Yarrowia lipolytica: one gene and its partners. The protein of the gene in region 4 interacts with the protein of the main gene of each other region in a biochemical or structural test. Links are inferred from orthologs where the notes say so. Each region holds a gene or a part of one and is shown on either strand. Other genes may lie near its edges.

What was found.
Region 1: the proteins of YALI1_D34395g (region 4) and YALI1_E33527g form a complex in vitro, tested with the Saccharomyces cerevisiae proteins (2 studies listed by BioGRID, with this or other methods). The link is inferred for Yarrowia lipolytica from reciprocal best matches to the Saccharomyces cerevisiae genes CDC5 and STU2.
Region 2: of the proteins of YALI1_D34395g (region 4) and YALI1_C20953g, one has a biochemical effect on the other in vitro, tested with the Saccharomyces cerevisiae proteins (2 studies listed by BioGRID). The link is inferred for Yarrowia lipolytica from reciprocal best matches to the Saccharomyces cerevisiae genes CDC5 and MUS81.
Region 3: the proteins of YALI1_D34395g (region 4) and YALI1_E19201g form a complex in vitro, tested with the Saccharomyces cerevisiae proteins (2 studies listed by BioGRID, with this or other methods). The link is inferred for Yarrowia lipolytica from reciprocal best matches to the Saccharomyces cerevisiae genes CDC5 and CDC14.

What each region holds. Positions count from the first base shown.
Region 1 is NC_090774.1:3,347,371-3,356,045, forward strand, and holds YALI1_E33527g (uncharacterized protein), read right to left. Parts: upstream 5,496-8,675; coding exon 5,439-5,495; intron 5,390-5,438; coding exon 2,843-5,389; downstream 1-2,842. Other genes in the region: YALI1_E33485g (uncharacterized protein), read left to right, coding at 1,180-2,559; YALI1_E33540g (uncharacterized protein), read left to right, coding at 6,695-8,675.
Region 2 is NC_090772.1:2,091,824-2,099,533, forward strand, and holds YALI1_C20953g (uncharacterized protein), read right to left. Parts: upstream 3,533-7,710; coding exon 1,679-3,532; downstream 1-1,678. Other genes in the region: YALI1_C20964g (uncharacterized protein), read right to left, coding at 4,440-4,635, 4,696-4,952.
Region 3 is NC_090774.1:1,917,156-1,924,558, forward strand, and holds YALI1_E19201g (uncharacterized protein), read left to right. Parts: upstream 1-2,989; coding exon 2,990-4,684; downstream 4,685-7,403. Other genes in the region: YALI1_E19172g (uncharacterized protein), read right to left, coding at 1-79. UniProt on the Saccharomyces cerevisiae protein: Protein phosphatase which antagonizes mitotic cyclin-dependent kinase CDC28, the inactivation of which is essential for exit from mitosis. To access its substrates, is released from nucleolar sequestration during mitosis.
Region 4 is NC_090773.1:3,437,986-3,445,779, forward strand, and holds YALI1_D34395g (uncharacterized protein), read left to right. Parts: upstream 1-1,508; coding exon 1,509-3,677; downstream 3,678-7,794. Other genes in the region: YALI1_D34446g (uncharacterized protein), read right to left, coding at 4,490-6,565. UniProt on the Saccharomyces cerevisiae protein: Protein kinase required for the cell cycle where it is involved in mitotic exit. A component of the fear (CDC14 early anaphase release) network which promotes CDC14 release from the nucleolus during early anaphase. Phosphorylates SCC1/MCD1 and NET1.

The DNA of each region.
Region 1 (8,675 bases), on a different chromosome or scaffold from region 4:
GCTGCGGGGATTTCGGTGGATCAAAAGACAGCCAGCGATGTGACACAGCGAGACGTTTAATTTTGACGTAAGAGGGCGTGAGTGACTGTGTTCAGTATCACTGTAGCAACTCTATGCCAGTCCACTGTATACTGCGAACACATCTAGCGTACAGTATTGGTATCTCTATACAGTGCCATCAATATCGCCAACAACCACATTCTCTACACACCGACTACCCGGTCCAGGAATAAGTACATTGCATTTGTAGTACACTCTGAGACACCAGTAAAACGGTTTGGAAGGTTTCCCACTTGGCCTTGCTTCTAGCGTGCTTCAAGTCATCTGAGTGGATCTAATCGGGGCTCGGAGCTCCCTCTCAATCTTATGACCTATCTTCCGCAGTCTTTCACTCAGCCCTTCATGAGTTCCACTACTTAACCCCAGTTACCATGCCTCTGTATACGATATGTGGAGAGGCAGAGAGTACAAATACTATAGAAATGGATGTTCTTGCACGTTGGTCTGGTTTGACTACTTGCACGCCAGCAATGGAACACATCTGAAGAACTTGTACATACCTCTACTGTAGCTCTATGAAGGTTTTCAGATTCGCTGAGAGATACTAGAACAACGCCAGTGGTATCATACCCATATGGTATACAAAAAAGTCTGGTACCATCTTAATCCTCTTTATCTCCTCTTTCCAATGATACTACTTATACCGCCAAAATCCCACCATGTCTCTTGCGTATATCACAATTATAGATTCCCAAAATATATCAGAGACACCTAGAACAGAAGTAAAAGTATTTATACCGCTCCACACCCCTTCACCTAGTAATTATCTTCTCTCCTCAATATCATCAATACACCCCTAAAACACGCCGACTTTATACCCCCTTCATATCAACTCATGTATGAAAGCGTAAACGTGTTATTAAAGCTTCTCCTACAATAAAGCCGAATCAATCGTGTTTGAGACTTCTAAAAGAGACCAAACCAGCCCGCAGAAGCAGTATATCACGTGATACCTCATATCTTCACGTGCATGCAACCGCGACCCCCTTTTAAACCCCCCATCTCCCCCTTATCGAACCCTAACCACCTCATCTCATCATGCACTTCGCTTAACACAAGCTGCGCGCTTGGCGCTAATTTCGAGTTTCAATATATCTACCAGCACAGACAGATCACGACATGTCGGATCAAAATCACGTCGAGCTGGAAAGCTTGGCAGAATCGGACGACTACCAGGTTGAAAGCGACAACGACGATGGCGGACACGTTACCCAGACGTTACTGGGCAACAATCCCGGGTTAGCCGAGGTCACGGCTGAATCTGAGAAGTCCAACATGAAAATGGCATTTATGAACATGGCCAACTCGATTATCGGCGCCGGAATCATCGGCCAGCCCTACGCCGTGCATGAGAGTGGTCTTATTGCGGGAATCCTGCTACTGGTTGGTCTGACGTTCCTGATCGACTGGACGATTCGACTCATCGTGGTCAACGCCAAGTTGTCAGGTACAGACACGTATCAAGCCACCTGCCGCAAATGTTTTGGTAAGACCGGTCTCATTGCCATCTCTCTGGCCCAGGGCTGCTTTGCATTTGGTGGATCGATCGCGTTCTGTGTCATTATCGGAGACACTATTCCGCATGTTCTGGGAGCACTTTTCCCGTCTCTTCTGGGTGGTGAGGACTCGGGACCTTCGATCCTCGTCAACAGACAGTTTATTATTGTTATTTGCACGTGTCTGATCTCTTATCCGTTGGCTCTGAACAGAAATATTGCCCATTTGGCCAAGGCCTCGGCTTTGGCTTTGGTATCCATGCTGGTCATTGTCATTCTTGTGATTGTCCGAGGACCCCAGCTTGCTCCTGAGTACAAGGGCACTTTTGATGGACACGCTCTGAGTATCAGCCCGGGACTGTTTCAGGGAGTGTCAGTCATCTCTTTCGCCTTTGTCTGTCACCACAACTCTCTGCTGATCTACGACTCTCTGAAACGACCTACTATGGATAGATTCGCTACAGTTACCCACTGGTCTACCGGAGTCTCCATGGTGGCTTGTCTGGCCATGGGAGTGGGTGGGTTCGTCATTTTCGTCGACAAGACCAAGGGAAACGTTCTCAACAACTTCCCAGCCTCTGATGTCATGGCCAACGTTGCGCGATTCTGTTTTGGCTTCAACATGCTCACCACCCTGCCTCTGGAGATCTTCGTTTGCAGAGAAGTCTTCACTACATACTTTTGGCCTGGCGATGAGTTCAAGTGGATTAGACACATTGTTACTACCACGGTGATGATGCTCACCGCCATGTGTGTTGCTCTGATCACCTGTAACCTGGGTGTTATTCTAGAACTCGTCGGAGCTACCTCAGCTTGCGTCATGGCATATATCCTGCCTCCCCTGTGCTATTTGAAGCTGACCAAGAACAAGAGTCTAAAACAGAAGGCTCCTTACTATCTGGTGGCAGGATTTGGAGTGCTAGTCATGCTCTTCTCCACCATCCAATCACTGCTGAAGATTGTGAATGGAGAGGAAGAGGGCAGTCATTGTGACGTGAACTAGTCCTAATATGACCAATTATTGTCCCCTACGGGTACTTGCACTGCACGACCACTCAAAACATCCAAAACAAACCAATCAGACCTAACCATATATCCGCCGTCTGATCACATACAGACAACACCAAAATCACTAAAATAGTCAATATCAATGTATTTTATTCAGTCCGCGAGCTCTACACATCAAAACCAGCCATTAAGTGTTAACCATTTTCCTACATGAACATTGCCATTCATCATCATTCTCCTGGTATCAGCTTCCAACCCTAGAATTATCAAATCCAGTACTAGTACATCTTCTGTCTCGCCTTCATGGCCTCGATTCGAGCCTTCAACTGATTAGTAACCTCTGCAGCACGCTGCCACGACTCCTGAGCCTGAGGTCTATATGAATCCCGTCTGTCAGGAGATAGGGCACGTGACACCGCCGACTCACGTGTACCGTAGTCATGTCCGTTTCCTCCCAAGTAGTCACGTGATCCGTTCCCAACACCGAAGTCCCGAGAGCCCCGGTTACCGACACCAAAGTCACGTGAGCCGCTGTTACCTCCATGACCAGGCCTGAATTCACGCGTGCCGTTGCTTCCCGCATTAAAGTTGTTTCCTCCGCTTAAGTCACGTGATATTCGTCTGTCTCCTCCAACTCTCTCACTCCCTCCTCCTTCCCCACCCAACGACAGCTCTCTGAACGATGCCTCAGCGTCAACAGAGGGTGACATCTCTCGGGGTTCTTGCTTCACAGCCTGAGAAGCAGAAGCAGCAGTTTCCAGCTCAGAAATCCGCTTGTAAGCAGCCTGCAAATCCCCCTGCATCCGGGAGAACTGTGTCTCTTTGCTCTTGAACGAAACAGCGTCTTTGGTGTGTTGTTCTAGAATGTCTGCCTTGGAATGTTGCAGAGAGTTGATCTCGTCAAGCAATCTCTGCTTCTCAGCTGCAAACTTTTGCTTTTCGGCCTCAAAAGCAGCCATCAATGTCTCCTTCTCCTTGATCCAAGTTTCCTTAGCGGCTCTCAGCTCCTCTAGTTCCTCAATATCTGCTGAGGAAGCTGCTGGTCCGAAAGAGTCGATACTCGGGCTTGCAGGAATCTTCTTGAGAGGTTGCTTCATCAACCCAGTTCGAGATTGGCCGTATCCTGAAGACTGACCATATCCAGATGACTGAACTGGCTTGCTGTCGGTAGATCCAAATCCAGAAGAAGGACCGGCATTGGATCCAGTAAAGGGCTTTCGAATAACACCTCCACCGGGTCGAACCAGTTTCCGTTGACCAGGAGTAGCCACAGAAGGACGTTTGTTAGATGCAGAAGCAGAGGCAGAAGGAGGAGGAGCGCGAGTAGCAGGCTTTGGGGTAGGCTTGGCCTTGGGCCTAGCCACCACTGTTGCCTTATCGTAGTACTCGACGATTTTCGTCTTTCGGATATCGTCAACGCCCTTGAAATGCTGCTCAAAGGCCCGTTCTCCAATCAGCTTTCGAGCAGTACCAAGAACCTGCATGGAAATCTCTCGGACAGGAGCCTGGGTATCAGAAAGTGTCTTCAGAACCGCCTTGATCACATGATCCAAGTCCTGGTCACTAGGATACTCCTTGATAGTCGACAAAAGACGCAGAATGAAGTTCAGAGACTCAATCCGCACCTGGGGAGTCTTATGGGACACGAACGGCAATGTATCTTCCACCACCTCGCCAAAGGGGAGCTTGCAAGCAATAGCATCGAGAGCTTTGCCCAGTGCTTCAGCCACAGAAGCTTTTTTCTCCTTCGTTCGCTCCAGAACAGCTTGGAGAGTGAATCGGTATCGTGCAAACGCGTTACCGGGCAACCCATTCGCCACTGTCTCGATACACTGAGCAGCCACCTGCACACATTGCACGTTGGCATCCTTGTGAACCACCTTAGCCATAGCTCTGAGAAGTTCTCCGTAGTCTCCCTCCTGTAATTTGGGGCCTCCGCTCTGAAGTACAGGTAGAACTGCCTCCAACCCCTCCTTTCGTTCCTTCCACTTGGCTGATGTAACTTCTGTGTAAAAGTTTGCTGGAACCTGAGACAGCACATCCTTGGCTTCCACCAGAGCCAGAGGGTCCGAATCCTCCTCATCACCCCCATTGTCCACATCCATCTCGTCGGACTCGATTCCGTTGGCCGAAGCTGTAGAAAGCACCTGTTGTTGAGATCTGAGAAGTCGAGCTTGGGTAGGTTTTCCAGCAGCTGCGTTAGCAGCAAACTTCTCATCGAGTTCCTTCTGCTGTACAGGTTTGAGGTTCCAGCTGGGCAAAATTGCGTCCATCAGAGGCTGACCATGCCACTTTTGAACCTCAACAATGAAGTTCATCGCCTCTGCTCGCACATTCTTGTCTGCATGAGTAAGCAGCTTAGGAAGAGCCTTGAACACGGGCTTAGGGTCGATTGTCTTTCCAAATGCTGCGACCATGTCCACCAAACACTTCAGGTTGGCAGCGATCACCTTGGGTGTTCTATGGCCCAACAAAGCAACAACATCCTCCACAACAGGATCAGGGACGTCCAGTTCAATGTACCATAACAGGGATTCTGTAGAAGAAGTTTTTGTGCCTGCTCGTGCGGAAGCTAGTCCCTTTTCAGCAAGAATAGGAACCACTACAGACCGTGTTCTCAAACAAGCCTGGGTACCTCCAAACTGAAGGAAGGCTGCCAAAGATTGAATACCTTGATCCTGAGCAACCACGTTCGTGTCACCGACAATCTTCTTGTACAGCCCAGGGTTGTCGAGGAAAGGCGCGAAAATGGGGTCCGCTTCGCTTGGAGATGTCGTGAACTTGTCCTTCAACTCTTCATAAGCTGATTGTCGCGCTTTCCAGTTCTGAATTAGTAACGCGGGGTTTGGGAAGGGGAAAACACGTGATACTCACCTTGTGGACCATTCGGTCCATCACCGGAATCGCATTAAAATCTTCTTCTTCACTCATGTCGTGTTGTAGCGATGTCGGTCGTGTTACGGGTATTAGGGGATGAGAACTGTATGCATCTCAGTTTACATGCGGTTACCCCGGCAACGATGGGGAGGCAAATAAGGTTGGCTAGCTGGGGTTCGATTACGGGAGTTGTTCTATACTGATTATAGTAGGAGAATGTATTAATGGAACATTACTGTCGGTTAACATAGTATTTTTGTGTAATTCCCATAGAACCAGTCTATATATTGTCGACATTCCCGTTTTGACCACGCTTGTCTTTGGATGTTGTTTAGACTGGTTGTGTGTTGTGGTTCGATCCCCAATTGGGATGGAAAAAAAGGGACTCAGCTAATGATAGGAAGGTACATACTCGTACAAGTACAGCTGCTGTGTTGGTACTCGTAGGAGTAACAACATTATGTAGCTGTAACTAATATACGCCAATGAGCTTGGCTTGAGAGCGGGCATGTCACATGGACACGCGCGAAGTATACGCGCTCAGAACACGCGTTGTTGTCTAAATCTGGCCTGAGGGTACATGAAAGATGTGAAAGGTGAGTATGTACTACTTGTAGTAGATATCAAGTACAGTATGTACTGTACAGTACAGTACCAAGAGAGTGCTCCAAGAACTCTTATGATAGTAAATACGGGGTAGTTTAGAAGTGGTTATCCATGTAGTGTTACGTAGGTGGTTTGAGGGACTTGGTGTCTCGAGGAGCTTGGAAAGTTGACAGATTGTGGCCCATAAAATGAATTGTAGGTATACCCTTTTTTCTAAAAAAGATTCGGAGGTGTAGAAACATGCCGGCTGATAATACTGCATACCGTCTCGCATGAGTCTATACAGCAGCTACCTGTCCTAAACTTATGGCACGTATTTATCGCGTGTAGCGTGTTTCCTCTGCTTCCGTGCATGGAACAAAATTGACGAGTGGAACTACAATTATCAAGAGTAAGTATTGGTGATGCAAACGGGCAAAAGTTGAAAATGTAAGGGATTGGCGAAAGATACCCGTAACTACTGACATGCCATGGTACAAAATGGCTCTATAGCCATGTTCAATGAAATGATACCTCTTCCTCATCATACTATGTAGCATACATTATGATGACTTCGTTATGGGTCAGCTTTCCCTGAATTATGGAAAAACCGGTATATCTACTGCCATCAAGTCCATCCCATTTTATTTCATAATCATCAACTCAACATGCATCTTCATTTTTTCCTAGGACTGGCTACCACAGCCTGGGCCATGTATGAATACAACGAGATCATCCCCTCTCGACATCGGGTTTGCAACCCCAACGAGCTGGGCTTGGAAGACTACTATGGCTTTGTTGTTCACCATCAAGTGACCGTTTCATCTTGGCCCAATCTGCACCATACTCGAGTATCCGAGTGTGAAAACTCGTATGTTCAGCAGCACGATTTGTACCATCCCAACGAGCCCGGCCAAGATACTGTGTGGGGCAAGAAGTTGTGTTCCGTTCACAACAACGACCACACTCGATGTTTCATGATGGCGCGAAGACGCCGATACGCCGGCCTCAAGTACTCTTTGTTCGTCCCCAACATGTGGATTGGTACTCTGTTTGAGTGTGACTGGAGAAACCCCAAGGACCCAGAGTGTATCAACCCAATCCCCATGCGACCTCTCATCTCCGACAATCTGGTATTAGCCAACTGGTACGAGACCCCTGATGGTTTCAAGCACATGGTTCGACGAATCCCGATGTTCTACACCACCAACAAGGGCCATCCCGTTCCTGCAAACTGGAACAACTCAGTAGATCCCTGGGAGCAGTACACTTACAGCTCCAACGAGGAAAGTGTCTTCAGCAACGTCGCAACCAATCTGCAGTCCTGGTTCCACACTCTGAATCGTATTGGACAGCAGGAACCACTTGACATCGATGAGGGGGATGGACGACCCCGACGAGGTCTTTCCGCTCCTATCGACTTGTCGTACAAGAACGCCTTCCATTGTTGGGATGATGTTCGTAACGTGTTCTGGAAGTGTCCCCCTCCCAAGTGGAAGGAAGAGATTGATGCTGAGAAGCGAAAGAAACCTGACTACCATAACAGACTCATTATGCCTATGCCCATGCCTCCTCTTGATCCCCCTCGAGAGCCCAACGACTTTGATGATCCCTTGGGTCTTCCTAAGTCTCGACTTCCCGAGTTCCGAGATATTCCCGGAATTATCGATCGAGGTAGAGACGCGTATGATCCCTTCTACGATCCCGTTTTTGAGAAAGAGAGAGCAGAATGGCATAAAAATAACCCAGCTACTACATACCCTGTCATGACTGCTGAGCTCCCTATTTCCACAGTGGGTCCCTCCAACCCTCTCAAGCACTCATTCAATATCTTTTCTGGACTGTTCAAGCCTCGTCCTGTCATCAAGGAGGAAGAGGAGCTGGAGGAGGAAACTTGGGGCTTCTTTGATATATTCCAGCCCAAACCTCGACGAGGACAATCCAGTATTGGTCTCATGGACAAAATTCTGTACGGAAATCTGCCTCCTGCTGCACGTCCTGGAGGAGCTCAGACAAGTTACACAGGTGGATACCGAACCTATGATCAGAATATCGGAAGTCTAGTACCTGTTATCCGACCCACAACCACTCAACGAAAGCCTGGTGAGTTCGATTTCACTCCTCTCCCCATGGAGGATTGGATCTCTCTTTTTACCCATGACTCCAAAGCTCCCGGCACTCCGGTAACTACTAGTCTTTCTGTCAAAACTGCTACTACCTCTGTTGCTTCTACGGTGTCTTCCAACAACACTATGCCCATGGTCACTCTTTACAAGGCCAAAAAGTCTGCGCGCGTCCACAGTCCAACCACCACCGCTTCTCAGTCTTACGAGGAGATTCGATGGAGCAAGGAGATGGAGCGTCGAAAGAAGGAGTATGAGGAATATAGACGACAGTTTGGTCCAGGCTACGAAGAGCTGCCCCCTAACAGTGGCCACGAGTGGACGGAATATTCTTCTTTTATTGATCACAACAGGAAGACGTTTGCTCGCAAGGAACAACGCCAGAAGGAGATTGAAGAGATGAAGACTCGGAATCGACAGAAGCGAGACGATCTTGATGAAAAACAGTTCTTCCTCGATGAGCCTGTCTCTGTGGGTGAGGGACCTATCTTCTATTCGGTTCCTGCTGCCGACCAGACCCTCAATG
Region 2 (7,710 bases), on a different chromosome or scaffold from region 4:
CGAATCTGGCCATTATTGACTTGATATCAATCATCGACTTATTCAGAATCTCGTCTGCTCCAGATGCCTCTGGTTAACCAGGCATGCTGTCTACTATAGTGCTTCAGTATTTCTGTAGGTTGCGTTTGAGACATGGTTCAGACACCTGTGACTTGTCTCACGAATGCTACCATGACTTCACGTATTCGGTCACCAGTCATCTCCTGCTTTGTTTCACCATCAACAGCTTCTGTCTGTTCTCTTCTTGTACCTGGAGTACCCCCAGTTCCAACATGTTATGTCTCTCTCACGGTTCAGGGTGAGACTAGCAAGATCAGTTAAGGCCTTGTAGCGAAGTCATCTTTTGATGCAAGAGACAAGATTGTTCAGACTGCAGTCCATCTCTTTGAACTCTTTGGGTCTACAGAACTCTTTGGGGATTTTATCCCGCCTGTTGCACCTCGAGAGTAATCTATACCGTAGACTCATTAATCGATTTCCAGCCCGTCACAGCTACGTATCAAGGACAGGATTATTGAGAAGCATTCCAACCCCCGGACCTCTCATATACCTGTGTAGTTATCATCGGCACAATACCAGGAACATACTATTCACACGGCAGTTTCGTGGCATTCTCTCGTTTCACGTCTCTCGCTCGACAAGCTACCGCTCTTAGTCATCGAATCCTCTACAACAGCTGAAAGTCTGCTCAGCTTGAAAACTGATCAACTTATGAGATTCAATAAATAAGCAGAAAGATGTAGATTGAGTCATTCCCCCTTCATCATTGTTGCATTGTGGCATAATTATCATCAATATCGATCCCTGACTGTAGGAAAAATCGTGAATCCTGACAAAGTCCTTCAAATTGAGGATTCCCCGAAGAATTTTCGGGTATTCCATCGCTGTACAAGTACATAGTACCTGCTGTAAATCTGCTGTTGAAATATGCTGTATATGTTCACTTCTGGATGCTGGCTTTTTCCGTCGATTTTGTCGTATTCGGTTAAACTGGAACTTAATTAACACCTTATAATTACAAGTAATTGACTATCTCGGGGGGATTTGAGATAGCCTGGGAAAGACTGAAAGAATCGATTGCCTTGGAAAATGCAGCTATTTTGAATCTTAGAGTGTTATCTCCTTGTTTCGGCTATTTAAGGAGTTCTAGCAATCTTTTGGAGTCATTACTTCCCTCTAGCATCTTTTTTGGAGTCAACTTTTGTCTTGATGTGGCATTGTTTACTGGAAGATATGAGACAAAAGGTCAAATGAAAACTGATTGACATATACTATACATCGTTCTACACACATACCCTTGCTCCATTTTGGTCTCCATTTGTTTCGTGTAGAAACAATTCTTTTGGATTGAGGTCAAAACGTGGATTACAGAGCCAGTCCATTCCTGGAGAACAAACTAACAAAGCGCTACTAGGTAGTCGTAGAACCATCTCCACCAACGGCTTTATTGCATAATTCGTCTTTCATAAACTTGAAAATCGTTCATTTTGTCAGACTGTGACTCGGAGATTTGTCCAGAATCTGATGTTTTCCAATCTCCACATCATCTGTACATGTTATTCCGAATTCAGGCGCACTAAAAGTGTATAATAATGATATTGAAGCTACCTGATATACCCACCCACTTTCCATCCTACTGTATCCAAGATCTAGAACCCAAGAAACCTGATGTACCTCCCTATAATTTACCAAAAACCTCCCACACCATTTCACTGGCAGCCTTCCCCACACCCTTAACTTGTCCTCTTGTCAGCAACTCCAAATAACCCTTGCCATGAGACTCCTCCAAATCCCTGTACTTGTCGATCAGATGACGAGGCGTAGGAAACAGCTTCTGGATAACCTGAGCCTTTTCAGCCGAAATACCATTAATGGTCATGAGCATCTGAATGAATAGTACCTTGAGGGAATGGTTCGACTTCAGATTCTTGTCCTGCCAGGCCGTCAGCATCATCGTCGAAAAGGTATCACGAGATTTAGAGAAGCCTCCAATCTCCTTGGGCCCTATGCTCAGAGTGACTCCCTCGTAACACATCTTCACAGACTCATAAAGACTGGCCATGTAGTCACAGCTATCCGCCACACTCTTGGTCTTCTTCAACAAAAACCCATCGATAGCCACCACTCGCCCCAGAATACTGGCAATGGCCTTATCACGGATCTGGACCGCAGCTCGGGACATGGAGAAATGTTCCACCAAATAAACAACGTTCTCGACTCCACACTTGCGTAGCCGACTCTTCTGCTCTTCGTATCTAGAGTCCACAATCGATGAGTTCAAGTCATCGTATCTCTTTCGCTCAATAATTGTGTTCAGAACGGCGATTTTCTTGCTAGTTTTGTGGCGAGCTGCAAACAAGAAGTCGCCCAGATACAACACTGAAGGAATTACTGTCACGTTCTTCTGACTCAGTCCGGAGATGGCCTGCTGTGCTTCTTCTCGGTTATTTTCTCGTTTGTCTACAATCAGAACCACCTCGTAGGATGACGGTTCCCACGTAACTTCAGCTGCCTCTGTTATTGGTCGTACCACTCCTGAATGGCGTAGTTCCGCTGCTGCCATTGTTGCTCCATCACTCATGGGGACGACGTGCACGTCCATATCTTCGTCGGCTGAATATCGATTCAATTTTGTCACCTGCTGCGATGAAGCCAGCTTGGATTTATCGGAAAACCCCTGGGTATCCACCCTCTTTGCTGTCTTTGGTCGCTTTTGTCGTTCGATTTCCTCCCGTAACTCTTGGCCAACCCGCTTCTCTTGGGTGGAGAATCTCCTCAACTTGTTGGCGAGGTCTTTTCCAGCTGGCGTCAAGCTGTAGGTGTATGTCGAGTTCATTTTGGAAGTGGTGACGAGCCCCTCGCTCTTCAGCTTTGATAATCCACCCCAGGTTTTTCCAGGGCCCGTGATGTTGAGAACCTGCTCCTTAGTCGTGGGGTTGGGTATACCAACTAGCGCTACTAGTAGATCATGTGCAGCAGTACCTTGCTTGGGGTAAAAGGTGCTGGCAGTTGCTACTGCCATTTGTTGTGGTGGTGCATCATCGGTCAGATCAACTGCATCAGTGAGATCAACGGTGGCTATGGAGGAGTCTGTGCCATGCAGAGGATCTGTAAATCCACTTGTCCCTCTTCCAGCCTTGCCCTTTTCCCGTCTGATTTTTTCCACCAGCTCCTCGTGTTCCCTCACCACTGCATCCTGAGCAGACTGCTTGATCCGCTCTCGTTCACGTGCTGCTGTTTCTTCCTGTTGTCGCTTCTCCTCCTCGGCCTCCTCACGCGCCTTTCGGCGTTTATCCAGCACTTTGCCCCAGCGTGTTTCCAGCACACCCAGCGACTTGGTGTCGACGTACTTCTTGAGATCGGCCACTTTGAAAATAAGCGGTCCACCCAGCCCTTTCTGCACACTTCGCAGCACCTCCAGCTGTTCCGAAAACAACCGCGCCTTCTTGGAACTGGCCGACACAGACTTGGCGAGAGAAAGATCCGCCTCGGTGGCAGCAATCAAGTCGTTGAGAATGCTCTTTTTGCTCATTTGAGATTGATGTATAAGTGAGTCGCGTTTCGTGTCGCGAAAATCATTTAGGCGTTGGAGCTAATATTATCAAGGTTTCAGTACATACTGTATCAGTCTCTGAATCATGGCCAAGTGACATGGATATTTCCTCATCCTGCTACATTGAGATACACGCACTGGTCTGTGTATACTTTTGCCCCTTCAATTTGCTACAGTACTGTACGTTTTTTAGAAAATGTTTTTGTTATTTCTTTTATAGTAACATAATACATTTATGTTTGTTAGAGCAAAACATCCTTAACAATAACGTCCACTAATCATACATAATTACTGGCGTAAATCTTAAAAATACTTGATAAATTTATTTAATGCAGAAAAAATAATGTAATCATGCATAACTCAACAAACGTTTCAATAACCCAGACTCGTGTGTATGGGATCTCTTTCCCCATAGATAATATCCAGTACTTTTGAACAGCAAACAGCCTCCCCATCGACTTTTAGTGAAATTTTGGACCTGTGATTCTAGACCAACCCAGCTCTCAAAGTCACGTGAAAGTCTCAACTCAACCCCCCCCCCCCCTTTTTTTTTTTTTTTTTTTTTTTTTTTCATAACATGAATTTCTTGTTTCACCAGTCGCACAAGTTGGACATATTTTTTCCCATTACAACAGCCCAAGACGGAGTATGGAAACACCAACTCAACACCGAGAGAGGATGGAGAGATGGAAATTACATGACCATACTTCACAGACCGGGGGTTATTATTATGAGTTGATCTGAAGTCTGCAATATAAAACTGCCCACGTCATTGAGACATTCGACATCTGTAAGCTACGTTCATCTTTCCATTTAATAAACACTGCTGAAAACAGCTACAAATAATTATAAATACATAAATAATCGAGCCGGGAGCTCATGCAAATTATTCCAACACAACATCACTGTCATCCTCGTCGGCACACTCAAACACGCTGGTCAAGTCGAAATCGGGCTTTCCAGGACCAAGCTTCTTGTTGCCAAACTTCCACATTTCCGTCTCGTCCTCACTGCACACTAGCCACAGCTGATGATACGCAACATTTTCCAGATCCACAATCAGAGTCTCCCAGGAAGATCGTCTCGCAGCATCGCAGACTTGAGCTTCTCGTCAAATCCACAGCAGTAGGGAACCGCTGAACACTGAAATCCGGAGGCAAATCGGGCAGTATCCGGCCACCGGAGGAAGCACTTTGAACGAAGTCTTGTCAATGGACACCATGTCGGGATCCATACTGGACTCGCCATCATCCTTCTCACATTCCATCGAAGTCTCGTGGTCCCTGTCCCAGAAGAGCGCATTGACGTTGGAAAAGCTCACGTCGATGACGGAATCGTCCGTCTGACTGGTCTCAACCGAAAACTTGACCTCACTGTGCTCATGACAAATCACAGCCATGGAGAATCGCTCAATTGTAGCACCCGGGTTTTCGTCTGGTCTCAGAAAAATTAGCTGAAAGATTCGCAATGTCGACACCTACACGATGGAGTGGAAACAGCAGGGCTGTGGCATACGTCGTAACGCCTCTTCCAGCCAACTGCACAGGCGACTCAATTCCAAGTCAGAAGACTAAGAGAAACGACCAATCCGAGGTCACTACTGCTGGAGCGGAAGCTGCGACTGACAAGAGAGGATGTGTACTGAATCAAAATCCAAGACAACATCAGTTCCATACTAGAGAAAGCTCAGTCTTGCTATCCCAAATCCAAGGAATATGAAGCCTCAGAGAATAGTCAATCACCAGATACTGTCGCCGTGGCGAGGGTTGGGAACAAGGAGAAGGAAGTCCAGCTGGAACAGAGTGAAGTTGATGTATTTTATTGTGAGTGTTAATGAATAATTATCGAAACTTGTGAGAAATAGGCGATGAGCTATACACAAGTGTACAGTATTTACACTAGCAGTGCAAGTATTTGGTAATTGAATACTTTCATTCGATTTGGAATTCTTGGGATATTTAGTCAAGCATTTTTCGATATGCTATGTTTTTTTCTGTTTTTTTTCTTTTGTTTTTTTTGTTTTTTGTTTTTTGTTTGCTTTTTTTGTCGTGTTTTCCAAATCTTTTGGATATTGGTCCAGGATTCCAGCAGTAAATTAGAGGTCACAAGTGTAGTGACCCGAGGCGTTACAGGAGAGTAGGGGGCAATACCATGGCCCATACAGAACAGGTAATCGTCTGGCCATGTCCAGGGGCAGAATGATCAATTCCCACCATTCTCGTCAGAGAAGTTGTGACTAGATTACAGACGGTACACTATATATATTGTATTCTACTGCCAGAAGTAATGTTTTGTAATGTTATAGCATTTTAATCAGACAAGTAAGTACTCGTGCAAATACCAACCTGGCTGATTTGACATTGAGGATCTGGTTCCCAAGGATGGGCCACCCGAAAGACATCCAGATCCAGTTCTCTGGCGTGTAAAGTTTACGGACTGTCATTTTACATCAACCAGCCTAGACCCATAAGGGTCACCGATTCCAAGTCTGTACCGTACTTGAGATAATACAATACTTGTAGTAGAACCGGACAGCAAACTTGTCGACTTGCTGAGTTGGTTTCAACGACCGAATAAGGAACAATTAATGTCGATCAGAAAGTAAGCCAACAGTTCAATACATCTCTTTTTCTCCTGTTCATCGTCGTCTTTGGCGGCTGTATGCACTTAGTTGTCAAATCCCACCAAGTTCCAGGCCGTTGGAAGAGCCAGGTCGCTGTTCAGTTGCAACCTCCCCCTCTAGAGCAGAGTCGTCCTCCACTTTTCCTAGAGGAGACTCCCTGAGTCTACCAGATCCAAGCTTCTTAGTCACTCGCTGGCCATGTCATGGTATTTAGGTGGAGGACCCTTGTACTGTAGTTATTGGGGTCTCAAGTGATTCTTAACAAGATAAAATTGAAAAATTAAGGTCACCAACAAAATATGTTGAAAATCTGTCGAGTAAAGTGAGGGATTAATGGCACGCCTTTGGATTTCCATTAAATATTATGAGTCGAAATGTGGAGTACTCCCCTCTTCCCCAGGGCATGTGAACAGTGACGCCCCCCGGAAACATCAACAAGTCAAGACACGCAAATATCTGCGGGAATTGGCTTATGGGATCTGGAAGATGGAGAGATCCCTCCGGTACTCAGGGGACGACGCCACCCTGGGACATGTCCAACAGGGTTTGCTTCAATTCCTGAAGGAAGCCCAGATGTGTTTCTACGATGGACAACCGCCAGCACTTCACGATGAGCGAGAGTAGAGACAGTAGCAAGCGTAAAAGGCGGCCGAGGCCACCGAGAGAACAGCGTAGCAGGGCGCGTAGTCACCACAGGGGACGCAGAACCAAACCAATGACGAAGAAGAACCACAAGGAGACGTTTTCAAAGGCAATGCAAACGAAGAGGGCAATGGAAGGATTGAGATTAGAGAACTGGAGACTGGAGTGGCGTTTTCCCGATGACGAACAAACACGCGAAGCTATGTGGACCAACATACAACACGGACTGAACCAGGTTTTTTTATGATTTTTTTACTGGAAATAGGTACGTGCCAAGTTGGACCATGACACTAAACGTGTTTAATTAGTAATATTCGTGTAAGCGTACATTCATTTCAAAGGTTATTCTTTCACAGCAAAGTTATAATTAAATGAATGTATATGCAGAAAGAAAAAAAAATATTAATGAAAAATGCGGAACATAAAATTCAGGACAATTTCCGCATGTCGGAACAAATATTTATAGAGTTAGTTGAAATCTAGTGGATATATATCGATTTGGGTACAATTTTCAAGAATTTTGTTGAGTATATTTAAGCTATAAACATTGGGTAATCTTAAATTGTGTGCCATAAACTTGCGGTGCCATAAAACTTTGTGTGGTGCCATAAACTTGCCCAATAATCAGGCCACTTTTACAAATAATCAGGCCATTTTCACGAAGCTTGTTTCGTCGGGCATAAAACAACATCAGAGATATATTTCTGGTGTTAGCGTTGATAATGCAGGGACTAATGAGATGAAAACTTTAGTATGCACTACTTCGAACCCAAAAAAAGAATATCGTCAAAATTGGAGTTGAATGGAGTTAAATTCGTGGTTTTATATAATCCATCTTGATACGAACCCCGCACGTAAAAAATCAGGCCATAATTTAAGGTGGCATATTGAC
Region 3 (7,403 bases), on a different chromosome or scaffold from region 4:
GGGGATGTGGAGGAGATATGGGATTTTTGAAAAGTGCGTTTTGATTCTCGGATTTTGTTATTTTCAATATCGTTTTCATTTTTCAAATACCTCCAAAACTGGGTATTCTGGCTGAACCACCTTTTGGCCAATGTGGGGTCGGCAGGACGTCATCACCTCGGCTCGGTACTAACTTTATTTGGCCTCCAGATTACATGCTTTAACACATGGCAACGGTAACGCACCGACGTGGAATGATTGGTTGTGGCGATGAGGAGTCAGCGCGGAAGCGACGAGCGCTTAGTAATTTGGTCACGTGTGTGCTATTTGACAACGCACCCCTGATTAAGTGTGGAGTTCCCAAATATCCGCGCTTTTAGTCGCCCCAAAAATTGCCACCACTATTCCCAATCCATGTTACCCCCCCCTTTGAAATAAACTCGTCGGGAATTTCAGGACAGCACATGAAGGTTCGGCACACACATTGCGCATTTGCGCGGGGATAAGTCACGTGGAGAAAATAAGACGCATGTTTGGACGCAATTGGGGCGAAAAATGGGGGATTTGGTGTTGGAAAAATCAGGAAAATTGGGGGAAATGGGAGGAAATGGGGAAAATGGGGAAAATTGGGAAAATAGAAAAAAAACAGGCAAAAATAGACAAAAAATAGACAAAATAGAAAAAAAAGAAAGAATAGAAAAAAATAGTGGCGCATGCTGAACAGTCACGTGAGTCCATGGCGAGGGCAGAAATGCGCAGTCACGTGAGCTGCATCTCAGCACAGAAAAAAAAGATAACACGCTCGCAATTTCCCGTTCCGAGTCTCCCCAGCACCGTTCCGACATTGAAACTCGTTCCATTGGCCAAACCATGTGATTCTAGGTTCTGTGGGGGAGGAGGGAATGACGTGGCAAAAATGGACTTGGACCTGGAGAATGAGTAAGCAAGGAACATGTAGCTGATTCGGCGCTGAATTGTTCTACTTACGTGAAATTTCGACGGCGTTCATTTGCGTTACTCTATCTTCGACGGCCCAGTCATATGTTTTATCATTCTCTTTTTGCGTCTCACTTAACGCCAACGGTATTATGTTGCAGTCTAACCTTTTCGCGCAACCGAAAAATAATGTCAATATTGTCGGTTCATTTTGTTTTTTTTTCAATTATTTTGTTTTTGTTCGATCTGATGTTCCCCGTGTTCTCGATTTAACGTTATTTATATAAATTTTCCGAAATTCAACGTGAATCAAAATAATTCAAAAAATCGAAATAAATCAGAAAAAATCAAGAATAATATTCCCCAACAACAACTACAAATAGATTCGTATTATTCCGTCCTGCGGGGTGACTAGCGCAGATAAATCCGCTAATGCATGACCACGTCGTGGATTACTCACCCTGATTACTGGCCATCATGCAGACAAACCAGATTCGGCGTTAGCGCTTTTAGTGCACGAGGCTCAGATGGTGGCTTATTAAGCAATGTGCGTCTAGTAAGCGACGTAGCTTATTAAGCAAAGATGCTTACTCAGCGGAGTGACTACTAAGTGACGAGACTTACTAAGCGGCACTGACAAGGGTACTGCAGAATCACATGTGTGGAGAGCAGCACCTGTTTTTGTCTCACGTGACTGATCACATGACCAAACAAAAAAAAAAAACAGAAAAAGCTCCCCGGCACCCTTCAACCATACGAGTTGTGTGCGCGTCCTTCTCCTTAGATGACGTAATTTAAGTGTGACCAGTCACATGACCACCCCCTTCACCGCTTCTTCCTGTATCTCACGTGACTGACTGGCTGGTCACGTGACCCCCACCATCACCCACTGCTCCCCCATCTCTACTGCGTCTTAGATGCATTGATCATGTGTAATGAACTTTAAATAATAAAGGTCGAAATTTCGAGGGGAAAATTGGACAATTTGAAAACTGTTTGAAATAGAATGTCATTATTTTTGCCTTATTCAGCTGACTCTGAATCAGTCTTTGAAATTGTGTTGTCGTCCTTAGTCAGCATTCTGGAGACCCCCCGTTGCACTGTTTGCACTGTTTGGACCATGTATAATTGTAAATAGGGGTCAAAACAAACAATGCGAGGCAGGCTGTCTGTGTGGCAGAGGTAATGAGCGACTGAAATGATTAGTCACAGGACGCGAGAGGGGTGGGAGTTATGTAACTAAAGAATTTACTCACGGGTTTTATATCTATCACGTGACCCTGCTCTCCCGCTCACTGCTAAGCGCTTACTCAACACCGGATCCACCTAGCAACGGGCCCATGTCTCGGTACATAGCGTTCAACGGGGAACCATAATGGTCATAACCATAACACGAGTGTGATTAAGACGAGTTGGATTTCCAGACAGTCAATTGGTCTGCTGGAAAGGGAGTTAGTAAGACGGCGTTACGTAATTGAACATACTCCCTTGATACGATGACTAAGTTGAGTGATCAAGCCCCCATTTGGGCTTTGTCATCAACCTCCTGATTTTTTTTTGATCTTGACACTGTTTGTATTTATACAAAATATAGTTTGGGTCTAAATGTGTTTGTGTAGTTTCAAATTTCAATCACATTTTATTGACGCTGTGTTGGGATTATTATTAATATAAAACTACCATTGTAATTCACTCATTTCATGCTACAAAATGCACTTTTCAGAATCGAAAAATATCCAGTCAATCGTCCCACAGACCCACAGTTTTATTTATAGGGTTAGGGCTTCCCAATACGGCTCGTCCCAAACATAAACAAGCCCGAACCTTATCAGTTCACTAACAAGTATATGTGTAGATGTTTTTGAGATCTTCTTGAGCAGAGTCTGTGGAGTTGTTTGTGCGATAGAAGCGAACGTTTGCACCATTACATTTTTGTGCGTGCCCATCACCTTGTCCTTGTCGTCCCCACCACATTGCCAGTGTCACCACTACATTGCCAGTGTCACCATTACACCATCTAGGTCACCCCAACTACAACACCTTCACCACCTTCATTCCTCCACTCCACACTACGATGAAAAAAGTGGAACCAATCGAGTTCCTCAAGGACCGGGTCTATCTCGGAGCATATGCGCACACCCCCAAGGACACCGAGACGACCGTCTACTTCACGGTCGACGATGCTCTTCCCTACAACCCGTTTCATCTGGATTTCGGGCCTCTGAATGCCGGTCATCTGTACCGATTTGCGGTTGCTCTTCACGAGATTCTGGCGGAGAACGAGGACAAGGCGGTCATGTTCTACTCGTATCCTGATCCCCGATACCGAGCCAATGCCGCCTGTCTTCTGTGTTGTTACATGGTGTTGATCCAGTCGTGGCCTCCTCATTTGGCATTGGCACCGATTGCACAGGCGGAGCCTCCGTTCATGCCGTTCCGCGACGCCGGCTACTCGACTGCTGACTTCATTCTCACCATCCAGGACGTGGTCTACGGGTGCTGGCGGGCCAAGGAAAAGGGCTTTTTGGACCTGCGCCACTTCAATCTCGACGAGTACGAGCAGTATGAAAAAGTGGACCAGGGCGACTTCAACGAGCTGCCTCCTCATTACATTGCGTTTGCGTCACCGCAGCAGGAGGACTTTCTCACCCCGCTGGACCACGCCTTCAACAACGTGCTCGACTACTTTGAGACCCACAACGTGCAGCTGGTGGTGCGTCTCAACTCGATTCTGTACGACGCTCGTCAGTTCGAGCAACGCGGAATCAAGCACGTGGACATGATCTTCGACGATGGCACCGTGCCCACCATGGACATGGTCAAAAAGTTTGTTGGCGCGGCTGAATGCATCATCGAACAGGGCGGCAAGATCGCCGTTCATTGCAAGGCCGGCCTGGGCCGCACGGGGTGTCTGATTGGCGCCCATCTCATCTACTCCTACGGCTTCACCGCCGCCGAATGTATTGCCTACATGCGGTTTCTGCGGCCAGGAATGGTGGTGGGCCCCCAACAACACTGGCTCTACCTCCACCAGAACGAGTTCAGAGACTGGAAACGAACCATGGTCGTCAGCGATACCCCCAGCTACAAGCTGGCCAACCTGCGACCCCTGGTGCCCATTGCCGACCAACAGTGCAAATTGAGACAACAATTGAGCGCTCTCCAGGACCAGATCCGGCGCAAGGAGGAACAATTGGGCTCTCTGGGAGCCTCCGCAGTAACCCATGACTCCATTCTGCCGTCAACCCCCCCGCCAAAAACACCCGAACGATCAATTCTCGGAGACATGGACCATTGCAACTCGATTCTGCCGGCCCCTACTCCCGGACAGCCCCGCAAAAACTCCCCCAGTCCGGCCCATCGATCTGGAAGTGTAGGCATTTCCGCCATCCGTCCCAAACGGTACATTTCCACTTCCCATGACACCGTCTACAACTCGGACGAGGAACGAGAAGGCTCGATCGCCTCGGCGCGACGAGTGGTCAGCAGCAGACAAATGCCGTCGCGTCAGCCGTCGCGGTCCGTGTCTGTGTCAGTCTGCGAGGACGTAGAGGGCTCGCTGATTGTCACGGCCTCTCATTCGCCCTCCCGACGACCCTCGCACCAGCAGCAGCTGCGGTCGCCCTCCAAACAGCTGGACTTCGACCAGGAGAACGACATGAAAAAGTCACCATTGAGGGTTCGGAGCGCATCCCGGCGCCAGGCATCGGTGCGACAAGTCAGTGGCGAGACCGGCGTGAGAAAGGTCTCCAGAACCAAGAGGTCGTAGAGATTTGGCGGTATTTAGATGACTGCATGATTTATCCACTGAGATGACTTGGTCACATGACCCATTCAAATGACCCAATCACATGACCCGATCAGATCACTTTGTCATTAACCCCCCTCTCACCCAGAACAGCTATCGGACACACTAGAATGGCATCCCACGCTAACAGATACCACAGTTATATGCATGGAACAGTATGTATGGATTAATAATGAATCACGTAATGGAATGGTCGTGTAGTGGTACACTAAGAGTGCGATACCTACGAGTACTCGTGTTCTGTGGAAGTGTGGATCTCCATGCCACGAACAACTTTTAGTAGTCATTGTCTCGCTTCTTCGTCTCCCGGACCTCCTTCTCAGCCAGATACTGTGGTTGAATGAGATCAACGCCGAGTCATTCAGATCTTTTCAGATCGTTCTCATGCTGTTCGGCTAAGACCCGGCCTTTGGAGAAGGGCGTGTTCAGGGGCATGTGTGTTCTCGTGCTCGACGAGACGGTCAACCTGATCGAAGGAAAAGGATAGGAAGTCGGCATCAAGTACGAGTACAAGTACTGTACAATACTCGTAGCGAAAGTACCTGACTCTGCGGACCCAAGAGTTGCCACACACCAACAGGCAGATCGAGGTGTTGAGCAGTACCCTGCCTTTGACTTGGGTATCACCCTGTCTTCACCATCAGACAGCCCTCAAGGGAAGCTGATGTGAACGGAACTGGCCTCGAACTGGTCGACGTACTGTTGAACATTAGTCGCGTATTACTTGGACCCTCAAATATGTGAGCTGTGTCCAACTAATGAGCAACTAATGGCCGCTTATCCGCTGCCCCAACTAGCACATGTCACGGCGGAAATCGCCCATTCAGCTGTCGACAGAATTTTTCATTCTGGTTTTGCGATGCGGTACAAGGACATGGACACGTGACTTCACCATTGCTCCTGTACCCCAGATGGTTGTAGATGACGGAGTTCTGGTTGTACCCATGGTGGCATCTGAGCGTATGGGTAGATGTCAGAAGAGAAAAAATATTTAACATAAAATAAAATATAAATACAAATATAAAATAAATATAAAAAACCTATTCTCTTACACATTACTCAAGATGGTGACACAACGGTGACACAACTGACACAAACAATGCCACAAACAGACCCAAACGACACCACAGATACCCCCACCCACCCAGTCTCAGACACAGATAGATATGACACAGATACCCTCGTCGTAACCCGATACGATATGAAAAACAGAAACTGACACAGATACTTGTACTACTATCATGCAGTCTCGGTCACATACACATCTCCAGCTGACTCTGTCGGGGTACCGCATGCGACCTTGATATGATCCGGTTACTTGCGCTTTCCTGGAACTCTTGCTACGCTCCAGTTCTGCCACTTTTTCCAGCACGGTCCCAGCCAATGGTCTCCATATAGTCACCAGAGCAGGGTTTGATGGTGTAGGAAGTGTGGGTGGACGAGCGTTGCGAGGTAGCGGGGGGCGCGAGGGGAGCGAAGGGAGTGAGAGTGGATGTGGACCGTTGGTTTCTCACACTCGGAGCTCCCTGGCCAAGTGTGAACTCCTGTGACCTCCTACTGAGTCGCTTGCCTACTCTTTCCGAGTGGATGCCACGCCCATTCAGACTTCTGTCCGGCAACCCCCGGTTATTTCCTGGGAGCCGCTCTGGATGGCCAAAGTTGATCATTAGTCAGCTAATACCATACCTGGTTATTACTCATCAAAGTTCCCACCAGCTACTTGACATTGTTCTGTCTTAAGGTCCTACTACTGTGCAGGTGGGATCTGACGCCCGCCAGATGTCGGAACAAGTGGTGTGTTTGCAGTTATGAGACTCTTGATCTGTCGATTGTTTTGAGCAATGTCGAATTCTCAATCTATGACAAAAAGCAGATTTCGTTGTTTTTTGTTGATTTATTCTTCTTTTCCTTTTTCTTTTCTTTTACTGGGAATTCCCAAAAACCTCATCACATCTCCATCCAATTTAACCGACACAAGAGAGGGATATCATGTTCGCCGCACCCCATGTTACCCTGCCGACGAATGTACAGTATATGTGCAACGAATATTATTCCAAATGGTCTGATACGGCCCGATACGAGGTTTTTTTTATTATTATTATTTAATTTTTGAGGTATTTTACGGGGTATTTATTTGTGAAGTGGTGATTTACAGCGGAAAAAAAAAAGTCGAAAATGGGGAAGGGGGGTCCCAGCCAAAAAAAGAGTGCCGTCTAATTGGACCAACTGAAAGTAGAAATAGAAACACACAGCCCCACTGAGCTTGCGTACTGGTAGCCTTGCGAGTTTGTATGTATGGTTTGTGGGATGTGCAGATGAGATTTCATTTAGTGGAGTTAATTAAATCATTTAGGAAAAGGAAAAAATGGAGGATTTTTTCCTCTAAAAAAGAATTAAAAAAGAACATTGGAAAAAAAAAGAAAAAAAAGAGAAAAAAAGAAAAAAGAAAAGAAAAATCTAGATGGGGATAAAATGGGGTGGGTGAATGGAAGGATTGGAGTCGGGTCGGTTTCTGATGGTCCGATTGATGACTTGCGAGTATAAGAAGGCAACAATCTCAGCACATTGTTTAGTTATTGTCCTTTTTAATTTTTTTCTATTTTAATAGGCAAAGTTCCACGGTGCGGAAGAAGGACAGCAAGGGAGAGGCAAGCGATGGATTGGAGGTAGAGTATTGTCT
Region 4 (7,794 bases):
TACCGGTACAGTACCATAAGTTTTTGTCAACCCATCGTCCGTGGACCTAATGTTTCAGCTTACCACATTGAGCAGTCTGAGATCATTTCTAGCGTCAATCATGTATTCCAACGGTGGGATCATTCGTTTCAAATTAGTTGACTTTAGTTGGGAATTAGTTTAACTGGAAATTCTGCTGGGGGTTCATTTTTAGTAATCCCAAACGCTGACAAGGAAAAATACAATATAATTAGATATTAAATGTACTACTTTTTAACAGATTTTCAATATCAAACCCTTACATCAGACAATTTCCTAAGATTATTGTTGTTTCGATATCCAAAGCTAAGTGTAACTTGGTGATCATTCATAAACACCACTGCCAGGGAGATGACAAACATGACGCTATAACCTGGTGTAAGCAACATTGCCGTCTACTACACCTGTTCAGCAAGCTCTCGCTGTGTTGGAACCAGCAGATACGTCAAACAGACTACACACTACAAGCACGGTATCGCACACCCGTACTGGTGCTTTCGTGCTGTATATACAGACTTCGTAGACAAGGCCTCGCATCAAAATGTCAGACAAGGCGAAGGTTGAAAATGAGATGCACTTTATTGTTGATTAGCTCACATTCACCATCGAGGAGATGTACCATCGAGGAGGAAATGAAGCAGTGTGAAAAGCCGATGTTTTGTCAAATTCACGTGATCTAGCCTACTGGATCTAATCTAGGGGCTTACTAATCACATTGTTTACATTTCAGCCCCAAAAATCCACATTCATCTCCACAAAATAAACTTTGACTTGTTGTGAGCACTGTACTCCCAAGACTCACATCTAAAACATCGTCAGTCGTCCCTAACTCGCCTCACACAACCGGAGGGGCTTCCGGCGGTTAATTCCTAGAACGAAAACACTACACCCAGCACTGTGAACACAAAAACCACCCTAATTATCCTCTATACTAGCTCCCACGGCCAGTGTTTACAAAGACCCGGTTCTCTTGATTAGGTTAGGGTTGTACAGTATGCGGCTACAGCTGTAAACATAACATTGATCGGCGGACGGTGTCAAGGGCCCGATGTTGGTGCGTGGGAAACTGATAGAAGCGATACCATAGCACCTTGTACTGTACAGGGAACCTCTGGGAGTATGTAGGGTGCTTCTAAGGTGTATCTACAGAGTGTTTTGACAGAATTGATGATTTGGAAAGTGTTGATTTTGGGGCAGAATCAAACCCGGAAGGTAGATAACAACACTGCCAATGGACTCACCAGAACCACGACAGTCCATTGAAGCCCTTTCCACGCCAATTTGACGCAAATTCACCTTCTTCAACCTCATTCCTTCTGTTGTTTCGATACTATGTTGCTGTGACAACCCCCGAACCTAATGCCCAATATGGCAATAACCCAACTGAAGCCGAACAATATAAGCACTGGGCCATGGCCTACCACTGAACACACAACACTACATCACCATCTTGACACTCGGTCACCAATTACCCAAAAAAATAAAAGAAGATGTTCAAGCGACCAGATCCCTTGAGGCCTCTGGGCAGCGAGCATCGAGACAATGTCGTCAACCCCATGAAGCTGCGGGCAGGCAAGGAGAACAACGACGCCTATCACAACAACAAGTACACCTCGGAGAACCAGCCACAACCAACAACCCCGTACTACACCGGCAAGGGCAACTACTACAATCCCAGCAGCAAGCCCGCCGTGAGCAGTGCCCATGCTGCTGCCGCCGCTGCCGCCATTGCCCCTACAGCCTCCTCCAGAGCTCCCACAGCCGCTACTCACAAGACTCCCCGGAAAAAGGAAAAGCTTTCCAGCTTGTGCAAGACTCCTCCTTCTCTCATCAAGAGTCGAACCGGCGACCACTTCGCCCGGGGCTCGTGTCTGGGCGAGGGTGGTTTCGCTAGATGTTTCCAGGTGAAGAATGATGCTGGCAAGACCTACGCTGCCAAGACGGTGGCCAAGGAGAGCGTGCGCAACGAAAAGACGAAAAACAAGCTGCTGGCGGAAATCAAGATCCACAAGTCGCTAAAGCACCCCAACATTGTCGAGTTCGTCGACTGCTTTGAAGACGACCACAATGTGTACATTCTTCTGGAAATGTGCTCCAACCAGAGCATGATGGAGATGCTGCGGGCCCGAAAGGGATTTACCGAGGGCGAGGCAAAGTACTACATGGTGCAGATTCTCGGCGCTATCAACTTTATGCACAGACGACGAGTCATCCACAGAGACCTCAAGCTCGGCAATATCTTCCTCGACGAGCACATGCATGTCAAGATTGGAGACTTTGGACTTGCTACGGTTCTGGACAAGCCCACCGACCGACGGGTCACCATCTGTGGCACCCCCAACTACATTGCTCCCGAGGTTCTTGCTGGCAAGCATAAGGGCCATTCGTTTGAGGTCGACATTTGGTCTGCTGGTGTCATTCTATTCACCATGGTCACAGGTAAGCCTCCATTCCAGTCCAAGGACGTGGAGACCATCTACCAGCGAATCAAGAAGAACGACTGGAAGTTTCCCGCCGATCTTCCTATCAGCAGCGAATGCAAGGATCTTGTTCGACAGATGCTAGTTGGAGATCCTCACCAGCGTATCAACCTGGCCAACATTCTCAAGCACCCATTCTTCTTCACTGACTTCCCCGCCTCCATTCATCCTCAGGCTGCTAAGCTGAGACAACCTGAAACCCGAGTCAGCTACACTCAGTCACACAAGAATTTTGAGGCCATCAAGATTGCCGCCAGACTCGATAGCAGACACCTGGCACCCCGATCGACATCTCCTCCCGTCACAATTGAGCGTCAGGACGTTGAGGCCGACCAGCCAGCCAAGATTCTCCCCCAGTCTCTGTCTCCGGCTTCCACCAAGGAGAAGTACAAGATGGTTGACGTCAAACCCGATCCCCAGGGTCCCCAGGCGATTGAAGCCGACCGGCGAGTCATGGAGAACGTGCCTCAGTCTATGAGCCTCAAACCCCAGAATCAGCTCTTCAAAATCTTTCATGAGGCACTGGACAGGCAACTCCGAAGTGGACCCTCACACCACAACTCCAGTGGCCGGGCAGACGAGAAGACCATCTTCATTTCCAAGTGGGTGGACTACTCCAACAAGTTTGGATTTGCCTACCAGCTGTCGTCCAACGTCGTCGGCGTTCTCATGGAGCAGGAAAAAACCATTCTTATGGACATGCGGTACGAGGAGCATCTGTTCCAGGTGGTGATGGAGCAGGAGGCAAAGGACGTGGCCACCCGAAGCAATCCCAAGAGCAACTGGTCTATTGACACCTTCACGAGCACACAATATCCTGCCGAGCACAAGCACCGAATCAAGCTCGTCAAGCAGTTCCACAAATTCATGAACGACCATCTGTGTATGGTGGAGGACGAGAAGGAGATTGGCCTGGACATGGTGTGGGTACTGAGCTGGCAGCGGTCGGCCGGATTCGTGGTCTTTCACCTGTCCAACGACTCGTTCCAGTTTAACTTTGAGGATCACTGCAAGATGGTCATTAGCCACTGTGGTCAATCCATGATGTTCATCGACGACGACAAGATGTTCCACCACTGGACGCTGGACGAGGCCTGCATGCACGCAGGAGAGGGACACTGGAATCTTCAGGAAAAGTTGGTGCGTGTGTACCAGTACTTTGAGGGTCTCCTTAACTAGAGAGGCTCAGAGACTCCGCGCAACAATTGTTGTGTCATTAAATTAGCTAACTTAATAATGCATGATACCATAATATTTGTGGGGAGAAAGTAGGGTGTCTATATCGAAGTTTTCGTCTGAAAAAAGTGGAATCTGTCTCATTCATGTGGCGAATAATGAGGAGGCTAAAACAAGGAAATGCTAAAACGGAATAATCATTTGGTTCGAAAAAAAAAGATTACAGCACCCAGGATTCTCGTATGGTTCTTCCACTTACAATACCTAACTAGGCTTTTCTGGTGCTTGACTATGGCTTAATCGGACGGGAAGCCGTATTTTCACCAGGGATATGGCCGGAAACCAAAGACTCGATACGGGGAATCGAACCCCGGTCTCCACGGTTCTCAGAATGAGAGCGTGATGTGATAGCCCCTACACTATATCGGAAGGTTAAAACAAAACCTTATTGGGTCAATAGAACGTGATATGAAGACCACGTGACCATTTTTGATTTGTCTTATTGCGAGAGCCTGAGAGGATCTATGAGAATAAATCCAGTGTGGGGTTGTTAAGAGCACTTTAAATACATGCCTTAGATATAAACATGACTGTTAGAGGAGTGTTGTTGCTGGTATCATTGTTGTTGCTTTTCATGAAAGTGACAGCTACAAGTCCACAATGGTGAAAACTAATATCCCAAGTAACAAATCAGTTATTTATTAAGAGAGTTAGAATTATTGAAGAATCGTAGTTATAACCTGCAGTACGGTATGCACTATAAGAGTATACAAAGCATTATCATTAGCAATTTTGGCTGTTGTATTTTGTTATATTTACCAAGAGAAAGCCTCTTCATAATAATCGACCTTGGTACAATCCGTCGAATGAACCAGAGATAGTCGGATATCGTCGTTGAGAACAGGAGGGCCGCAGACCACCACAGCTGTAGTACCAGGACACCGTTCGACGTAGGCTGGCATTTCAGTAAGCATATCGGGTCGTCCATAGATGATATTGAGACGAGAAGAGTTAGTCAGTGAAGTAGACTTTTCAGAGTGTTTGGAATCAGACTCAGAACCTGTAGAAGCCAGAGCATTGGCACCACCGCCACCGGTGATATAGAGATTGACCTCGACTCTTGTATCTGCCAGAAGAGTGTCCAGTTCGGTTTTGAACCAGGTGAGACACGTATCATTCCGCACAACCCAGGTGAAGATGAGGTTCTTGGCTGTACTCTTTTGAATGACATCCACTGCGTACGAGTAAGTGGCAGTGATACCGATTCCTCCAGCAACGTAAATTGAGGAGTCGTACTTTCCAATGGGGTGCTTGGCACCATAAGGCCCCTCAATAAACGTTTTCAGTCGCCTGGATCCTCCACCTTTTGCCAGGAGGTTGGCTAAAGATAGAGTCTTGCCTTCTTTGGCCTTAAGAAGCACCGTCATCTTACCAGTCTCCAGAGCATAGGGGCTTTGATAGACGGTGAACGGGTGAGACTCCCAGAACTTACCGTTGAGAATGTAAATATAGACGTGAACTCCAGGGTAGATTTTCCACCAGTTGGAGTACTCCATCTCGGCCTTGACAATGAGCTGGTCTGAGTCCACAAGTTCAAAATCTCCTTTAACAACCCCTCCTGACCAGATGATGCGAGCGATTCTTGCTGCTCTGTCAAACGCCCAGACGGCAATAGTAGCGTAGACCCACTGCATCCAGCCAAGAGTAACACAGTGATACCACAGTCCCACAATAAAGGCCACAGCGAGGATGAGGTGGATGACAAGAAAAGTCTCGTACCACCTAGACCGGAAGAAATGCAAACCTTGGAACAGAATCAAAGAGCCACAGATGGTAGCTACTGTTCCCATGATCCAATAGAACTGTGAAGCTGCCACGCTGAAGAAATCTCGTTGGAGATACGAGTAACAAATGGAGTGGATGACGGCATACAAAATCATGACTCGAGAGGTCCACCGGTGGTAGATGTTGAAGGTATCGAAAGACCAGCCTGTAAGCCACATGAAGAAGTTGTTTCTTCCTCCAAACAAAAACACAATGGGTACCTGGGTGAAAGACATGATTCCAGTTCGGTCGGCAATGTATCGTGCCAGCTGGTCTCCATGGGCTTTCCAGTAAAAGTTGGGTGTGAACAGATTGTACTGAGTGAACAAGAAGATGAAGGCCATAATCAGGTATCCAAGGACCACGAGAGCCTGCATTCGGGTAGGAGTACACATACTGATGAAGCCTCCCAGATATCCTCCTGCAGGCTGGCAGTGTTTGTATCCCCACAGAGCAGGCATAGAGACATGTTTTCTGAACCTGTGACCCTTGATTTTCTGGTAGAGTCCGAAAAAGGCATGTTTTCCGAGATTAGAGGCCATTCCAACCAGAAAGATTAACATCCACCATGAAAGAAGACCAGCTCCGTAGTAGGTTCCCAGATCCAGTTGTTTCAGGAATTCATGCACAGTAGGAAAGTATTCATCATAAGCAGTCTGATTGAAAGCGACAGGAGCATGAAGAACTGCAGAGGTGTTCTGGTTGGATACGGCATACTTGGTTCCGTTCTCGTAGACCTCCATCATGTCATCCATGGTGAGGTTGAGCATTCCCCGCTTGTTGTAGATCTGGATAATGTCCTTGTCCAAAGCCCGCTTCCATTGCTCATCATCGGGAAGAACGGCACGGTACCAGATGGCTCGAGTCTGAATGAACGGCTTGTTATCCCATCTCGATTGGTAGTAAGCTGCTCCAAAGCCTTTAACAGGCTTGAAATCAAAATTGAACTTGCCAGTAGCTCCCTGAACAGTACTGGTGACGAGAAGGACATGATCACCAGGATGATCTCTGTAAGCAGTTACCAGGGTGACCAGAAAAGCAACGGCGAGAAGAAGGGTGAACTTCATGTTGGTTTTGACGCTCAGTAATCGATCTGCCCTTCCGTCGGCCCCTGTACGACTTTATAAACTGACACAAGTATCCAAGCTCTGGGCGTCACCCATTCCCGTCTTGGCAGGGCCTCCGAGGCTAGGCGCATGCCAAGACAAGGCACCGTGCCTGTCCCCTGATTTTATCCTTCTCCAGAGATTCTTTTGGGTTTTTCAGCTAATCAGATAAATCAATCTTTTCCATCAATAGGATTAGATCGTCATCTCAACCTTGTGTATCGGATGCAACATCGGAACCACGGAACTGAAAATGAACATTTTTAGCGAGTTATGTAAGAGTATACAATTGGGGGGTTCTGCAATATCTGTTCCGGGTTGACCTTGGTGGTCGAAGCAGCAACAGCGCACAATGGTCAATAATATACTCCAGTTGGCACCGTGGTGAAGCTGACCGCATCCTCCGTACACACTACTATACCAATCCCGGTACGTACACACTGGCTTCAGTGATCCTCGCAATTTTTTTTCAAATACTAATCAAACTAAGATGTGATTCAAAGCATCAATCCACATGACAATGTCCTACTTGCAAGTCCCTGGCTGATGGACATGGTGCCAATGCAGTTGATACACACACCAGGGATGATTGGTGATTGGAGGACACTTGTGTGTCATCAACCTGTCACCAGACAAAATTCACCGTCCGAAATCTTGAAAACATCGACCCAAAGAAGTCTACTACTCACTTGTAGTACAAGTACATACTCGTATCGTACCGAATGTACCGAAGTTGTGCCGTATATAACCTCCTCGTGCATTGTCTCAAGTGTACTGCGCCATCTACATGTATGTATACACCTTGTTTTGTAGCTTATTTTTTTTTTTGGTTCTCGCGACTCAAAAGTTGCTCATCAATGGCGCATTCTGACTTTTTGGTAAGATCTTGAGTGGAAGTAATGACTTTTGGTGACCAGGGATGGAACCTGAGACACCGATAGAGATACATATATAGATACAACTCTGGGTCATGACTGGTACTGTGGGTGTGAACCGTAAGACCTCCATCAGATAACATCGTGTGAATGACAGGACTGAGGAGGGCAAAATTCAATCGAATATTACCTTTATACTCAATATACAGCCAGATGGTGGTTCTTGTTTATGCCTCACCTACGGCCAATCGTCTCCATTACGCCAATTTGCTCCGGTCGCTGCTGCATTATTTCCCATTGAATCAATCGTACGAC